Linked DNA regions of Xenopus tropicalis. The protein of the gene in region 1 purifies or fractionates together with the protein of each later gene. This does not show direct contact. Links are inferred from orthologs where the notes say so. Each region holds a gene or a part of one and is shown on either strand. Other genes may lie near its edges.

The links.
Region 2: the proteins of plasma membrane calcium-transporting ATPase 4 (region 1) and nptn purify together in Homo sapiens (co-immunoprecipitation; 3 studies listed by BioGRID and IntAct, with this or other methods). This does not show direct contact. The link is inferred for Xenopus tropicalis from reciprocal best matches to the Homo sapiens genes ATP2B4 and NPTN.

What each region holds. Positions count from the first base shown.
Region 1 is NC_030678.2:70,269,497-70,273,152, reverse strand, and holds part of plasma membrane calcium-transporting ATPase 4, read left to right. Parts: intron 1-98; coding exon 99-356; intron 357-490; coding exon 491-616; intron 617-1,315; coding exon 1,316-1,444; intron 1,445-3,656. UniProt on the Homo sapiens protein: Calcium/calmodulin-regulated and magnesium-dependent enzyme that catalyzes the hydrolysis of ATP coupled with the transport of calcium out of the cell. By regulating sperm cell calcium homeostasis, may play a role in sperm motility.
Region 2 is NC_030679.2:92,482,154-92,485,809, forward strand, and holds part of nptn (neuroplastin precursor), read right to left. Parts: intron 846-3,656; coding exon 572-845; intron 1-571. UniProt on the Homo sapiens protein: Probable homophilic and heterophilic cell adhesion molecule involved in long term potentiation at hippocampal excitatory synapses through activation of p38MAPK. May also regulate neurite outgrowth by activating the FGFR1 signaling pathway.

The DNA.
Region 1 (3,656 bases):
GAACTGTGGCACTTGTTTGCTAACTCAGATTAATTAATATGCATTTAGAGATGATAGTACTGTTAGAATCTCAATTCTTCCTACTTTCCTTTTTGCAGTATGTGGGGAAGCTGCTGCAGGAGTGGAGGATGAAGGTGAGGCTCAAGCTGGATGGATTGAAGGGGCAGCCATCTTATTCTCGGTCATCATAGTTGTGCTTGTTACCGCCTTCAATGACTGGAGCAAAGAGAAGCAATTTCGAGGCCTACAGAGCCGAATTGAGCAGGAGCAGAAATTCACTGTTATCCGCAAAGGACAGGTTATCCAAATCCCTGTAGCAGAGCTAGTAGTCGGTGATATTGCACAAATAAAATATGGTATGTATAGGAAGAGTTTTTATAGACTATCACTGTTTAGAAATACAATAACAGTATTGTTATTTTCCCAGCATTCCACTGTAAACCTGTTTTATGATCTGATGTATAATCTGATGTATTTGTTTGTTATACAGGTGACCTCCTTCCTGCTGATGGGATATTGATTCAAGGCAATGACTTAAAAATTGATGAAAGCTCTCTAACTGGGGAGAGCGATCAGGTGAAAAAATCATTAGAGAAAGACCCCATGCTTTTGTCAGGTAAAATTGTTTCTATACCTGTGGGGTTAATTCTAAATAGAAGTGCTGTCTAAATTTGGTGATTTTGGTTGTATTTTTTTTTTTTTTTTAAATTGTATGGTGGCCCTTGCAGTTCTCTGTTGCTTGATGAATCCACACAAGTAGCAAATCGGTTCATAATCTGGCACATTTTTTGGCTATTCACTGACATTGTCGGACTAAGGTGTCTAGGGCCCCCCGTCCCAGTTGGTATTTGCAAGTACGCCTCTTCCACCCACCCCACCTGCTGCAGGTTTTTTCCTGGTGTCCCGCCGGCCCAGTCAGACCCTGATCACTGATGCAGTCGCATCAAATATGTTATGAGTAAAAGGGAACATACCGTCAAAGATGAATGCACAGTTGTAAATTAAATGTTTGTATGTGCAAATATTGTACCTACATCCCCACAAATATGTTTAAAAGTGCACATTTTAGACTTGCAGCCAAACTACATTAAGCCCTATAGCTATAGGGTTACTAAATGGCACAAAATGGAATCCTTCACCAGACTTGCAATGGTATGCCACAGGTACTGTGGGGTTTAGAATTGAATGCAAATTCTGGGCATATCAGGAAGTTTTAGATTATTGCAATTTTTATAACCCTCAAATATTTAAAATAAATAGATATATAAATTAGCTCCATGATGTTAGTAATAGCTTCTGCCTTGTTTGCCCACAGGAACACACGTAATGGAAGGGTCTGGACGTATGGTAGTCACAGCAGTAGGTGTCAACTCTCAAACTGGCATAATATTCACTTTGCTAGGTGCAAATGAGGGAGGTGAAGAGGAAAAAAAATCCAAAAAAGGTAATAATCCCTTGCACAGTATTTAAAAATTGGGTTTATAATGAGCAACCAAGGAACAAGAGTAACTCACTTGGATTTGCTCATGATTCATTGTAAGTTCACAATCTAAGTAAAAAAAAAAAAAAAAAAACAGATATTGAGATTGTGTAACATTTTTTTTGTTTTCTTTTTTTTTACATCGTTGTATAAAATCTTCGATCTGACACTTTAAATGAAACAAATTATGTATGTACAATTCCAAAAATGTTTTAATATATATTAATAAATATTGTAAAAATAAAACAAAACTGGGTTTATGTCAGCCCTTTACAAATGATTCTGGTTTGTATCAGACTATATTTACATGTGCAGAGGTCTACATACTACAGCAGTCTTCAAGTAAGTTAAAACACAGAATAGAAATATTTCTTCTTTGCTTTTGTGATCTGGTGTGCATACGTATACATAACTAATTTAGCAATTTGTGACTGTCAATTGTATTTTAGATGACATGGTTGGAAAGAAAATATTGGTTTTAATTTTCCTATATCAGTTCCTGTATCCTGTATTTCCTATATCAGCTCCTGCTTGCAATTGGAAATCCTTACAAACTTGTCTTAATTTTTCTAGGAGATTTTTTTTGGAAAAATTCCTTTTACCTTCCGCTGTCCTCACATCTTTGCTTTGCAACAGTTTTTTAACACTCACTGTGTCCTATTCACAGACTTTTTCTATCCATACTCATCTCTAACATTTGTGTGGGTGAGCATTTGGGGAACAGTGATCACAACATGGTCTCCTTTGAGATAATGCTGCAGAGACAGCTCTATAAGGGAGTAACTAAAACGCTCGATTTTAGATGTGCAGACTTTGCCAGTATAAGGGCATCTCTGCAATGTGTCAACTGGGAAAGGCTTAGGTTAGACACGGAAGGAAAATGGAACATCTTTAAAACATTGCTTTGCTGGTATACACAACAGTATATTCCCCTTGTACGAAGGAGAGGCATCGCAAAGCAAAACCTTTATGGCTGAATAAAAGTGTTAGTGTCGAGGTTGGTAAGAAAAAACGTGCTTTTAAAGCATTCAAGTTAGCTGGGACAGACGAAACTTTCATCAGGTACAAGGAAGCAAATAAAGCATGCAAAAAAGCTATCAGGCAAGCTAGAATAGAGATGGAAAGGGATATTGCAGCTAGGAGTAAAAAGAATCCAAAATTATTTTTTAATTATGTGAATGGTAAAAAAATGAAGCAAGAAGGGGTGGGAACCTTATTATCACAGGGGGGTAAGTTGGTTGATGAGAACGGGGAAAAAGCAGAAATTTTGAACTCCTTATTTTTCATCTGTCTATACATCTGAGGAGCCAGCTAATGAAGGCTTCCCTTTTAATATGCCCAGTTCTAGTAATTTAGCTACTGACACATGGGTCACTCAGGAGGAAATTCAAAAGAGACTTGAACATGTAAAGGTAAACAAAGGTCCAGGACCGGATGGGATTCATCCCAGGGTATTAAATGAGCTGAGCGCTGTGATTGCCAAGCCTCTTCACATAATTTTTCAGGATTCGTTGAGGTCTGGCATGGTGCCGAGAGACTGGCGAATTGCTAATAAGGGATAGGGTACTTTAATACAGTGCAGTTCACAATACTATAAGTTTGTGCCAGCATGGTTTTATGCGTAACAGATCTTGCCAGACTAATTTAGTCGCCTTTTATGAGGAGGTGAGCAGGAACCTCGATGCTGGAATGGCAGTTGATGTCATCTACTTGGACTTTGCTAAAGTGTTTTATACAGTACCTCCCAGAAGGTTGATGATCAAATTGAGGAATATTGGCCTAGAACGTAATATTTGTAATTGGATATAGAACTGGCTGAAGGATAGATTACAAAGAGTGGTGGTAAATAGAACATTTTCTAATTGGACCAGTGTGGTTAGAAGAGTACCGCAGGGGTCAGTCCTTGGTCCTTTGCTTTTTAACTTGTTTATTAATGACCTGGAGGTGGGCATAGACAATATTGTTTCTATTTTTGCTGATGACACTAAATTGTGCAAAACTATAAGTTCCATGCAGGATGCTGCCACTTTGCAGAGCGATTTGAAAATATTGGAAAACTGGGCAGCAAACTGGAAAATGAGGTTCAATGTTGATAAGTGCAAAGTTATGCACTTTGGTAGAAATAATATAAACGCAAACTATCTACTGAATGGTAGTTTGTTGGGGGTATCGTTAA
Region 2 (3,656 bases), on another chromosome or scaffold:
AAGTAGCTATGGATTTTTGGCTCGCTGTTGCTGTTTTCCTGCTTAGTCATATTTTTGTTGAAAGTTATGAATCACTTCTTCCCCAGTTTTTTTTGTGAGGATCTGTATTTTTCATTTTCTTTGGTGTAATAAAGACATCTGCAAGGGATTTATCTGCCTTAACATTATGCTTTATGAATATCTAGCCAGCTTTTGTTTACATTTTCCTGAAGCGCAAAATGTCTATTCTGAATGTAAATACATAAAAACTAAATAAAATACACATTTTTGCCTACAAGACATCTTTAATTTGATGAATTTTACCCCTGCATAAGCAATAAATCTTAAGGCAAACAGCAACCTTTTAGGTTGGTCTCCATGCACAAGCTTACTTCAAAATCTAGTGGCTTCACAATGGTTTGTGATGCTCTGGATTTTGCACAATATATCCAGATTTTTGTGCCAGGAGAAAAATAACATGAGAAAAATGTTTTCAATTAAACAGGGGACCACTCTCTTTATCCCAATTTATTTTTTCAGTTTTAGAAGCTAATAATTTACAATTACAAACATCCCTTTTCCCAACTCTTACCGTCTGGCACCTCGTCCGGCCTCTTGCGCTTTTCATACACCACAATAACGACAGCCAGGATAACAATCTCTGCAACAATACCCAAGAAGGGCCACAGAGGTGCTAAATTACTGCGTACACGCAAGATGGTGGTGGTGTTGTCTGAGCCAACAGTGTTGGAGGCATTACAAAGGTAAGTGCCAGGGTCATTATTGATATCCAGGTTAATGATTCTCAGCTCTGTATTGTTATCTTTGTTGGTAATAAAGATGCGTCCACTTGCATTGTTGACCTCCTGTAAAATAATAGGAGAAAAATAAGCACCATCAACAATATCTAATCTATACATCTGCCAAAAAGCCTATGAACAAAAAGAAAATGTCTGGATTCTATTCAACCAGAAAATGGACTATACTAATGTTTTATTATTACTGTAAGAAAGGATACATACATAGATCTGATTCTTGATATCCCCAAACAATGTAGGTCTCTATAAAAAAAAAATATTGCATAAAGCAGCTCAGGTGTAAATCCCTTATTCATCTAAATAAACTATTTTCATAAAAAAAAATTAAAAAAAAATAATTATATATATATATATATATATATATATATATATATATATATTTTTTTTTTTAGTAGATTGTGCCATTGGGAAATCCTAAATAGAAAACTACCATTTTTAGTACTAAGGACCACTCTCTGGATTATATGATTCACAGTGCACACACACAAACCAAGGGCCCACATACATACATGCAAGGCCACATCAGCCAATGAATAGACAAAGTCTTTTGCTCCTTCACTACTTCCTGTTACAGTTAGAGCTGCATTATTTCTAGCCAGGTGACTCCGAGGGAGCACACAGCCCATCACTAAATTGTGGCTCAAGGTAAACAATCTAAATGGGCAATATTTACTGATATATATTCCAGTTTGGCGAGATTCTTTAATAGGCCACTTAATGTGACAAACCATCTGGTTAAGTATAAGTTATTTATTCTGGGGGTATTCCTTTTTATTTTCCTTTAAGATAGTTGCACACAGCATTTTGTTGCAGTAAGCATGTTTAAAGGGGTTGTAAACCCAGCCATGATGCTGTTCCACTGCACCCCCTAGTTTTGCTATAAAAGTTACCAAAAAAAAAATTATAGATGCTTGAAAATTCACCAATGGAAATTCTACTAATAACTTTATTATAAATTAAAAAGAATTGACAAGTGAGAATGCAGATTGCAGGAACAAAGAACAGGGAGCTAGATTTACACAGATCAGCTGGGATTCTCATTGGAGGATTTTTCACATTTTAAAGCAGTGAAGATTTGAGGAAAAGTTTAGGAAGTTTAATTGTGCAATATTGCTTTGAGAATACAACCCTGCTGTTGCTGGACTACAGATCCCAGCATTCCACCACTTTCATAATATGTAACATTATTCTGGAATTTGTAATCCAGTAACAAATGAGAAAAGCTGAGCAGTGCGGTGCAGCAGGGTTTACATCACATTTAAAGGACATGTAAAGCCTACATTTGCCTACAATGTATATCAGTTGGGCACGTCTAACCCACCCAAATGGCATCATTTGTACTGCATATATCCCCTCCGTTTGCTAGCACCATCACATTTTCCTAAAGCAAATAGCAGCTTTCACCCGGTGGCCATTTTTCCTCTGATACATAATTGGATGCATTTAAATCTGCAAACAGCATACACACATACAGACCCTTATTCAGCATACATTTCATCAAGAATACAGGCTCACACAGGCACAACTGCCTCTGATAAAAGTTCTGCTTTGTTTGAGCTGAGCTCAGAGTTGGCTGGGAGAAAAAAATTGAAGCAGACAGCTAGAGCTGAGTTTCTATGGGAACCAGCAATGCCATCTCTTCACTGGCTGCTAGACTGGGGGCATGTTTAGTAATCTGAGCTTAGAACAACTGAGCATGCCCACAAGCCAACAGCCAAAGCAAATTCCCAAGGGAGGGGGCTGAGTGGGTTAGAGGAGGAGACATGTTGCAGCCTTAATATTAATCTCTGGACAGCCAGTGTGGCAGGTATTGAAAGATTTCAAAGAGGCTATTTACCGATTACATTTTTGTGTGTGGGGTTTACATGTCCTTTAAGCACTTTTGAGTGATAATCACTTTAATTAAACTGCATTGGTTGGTTACAATTGTTAATTAAAGTGAATGGAGGCCAATGTGATCACTTTACCCCCGCCCATGAAACAATAAAATGCTCCCAAATTTCCCTGTTTGCTGTTGATCTTAGTTTCAAATACTGGGCTAATTTACAAAGCAGTGCAGTTACTTAGAGAAACCAAGTCCATACTAGTGTCCCCTGTGCCAGGGCAGATAGCAATTTCAACTACAAAGGTGGCAGGAACTGACACAAAGAAGTTTTACAGTAGGAGAAACAGCTGATTACCATCAGTAGGACCTTAAAAAAAAATCAATCAAGCAACACAATATCTGGTTAAAAGGGAAGGAAAGCTACGGACACTGTTTTCTCCCAATAGTTTAGCTTTGTGTGACTTCCTTCTCCTGCTGCCAGTTATCTTTCCCTGTTCACTGGTAACTTTGGGCTCAGATTACATGGAGGAGGGAATAAGGAGGGGGAGAGCGAGAGAGAAGCAAGTTGCATAGGTTCATGCCCATGCCCGGGAGGTGAGAGAAAGAAGTCTGATATAGAAGTCGATGTGTACAGAATTGAAGTAAAGGAATGCCATGTTTCTATTGAAACTCAGAGCAGCATTACTGTGAGTGTTTATTGGTATATTTACATAGACCTTTCTGATAAAGCTTACTTAATCTTAACTGTGCCTTCTTTTTTAAATTCAAATACAAAATTGATTTAATTATGGACAATGCTAAACTAAAGTCTTAAGACAATGACAAACTGGGAATATTTGGGGGGAGAAAAAGGTACAAGTGGGTTTAGTTCCCAAAGGGGCCCTCTGCAAAAGCAATGCCTTCTTCATTTTCTTTTGGCCAGGACCTTTCTAGCTGAATATTATGAGATAAACCTGACTGCATACAACACTGACCTAATTAGTATGTGCGTATGCACACACACAAATTTTGCGTGTGCCAGTGCACACAACATA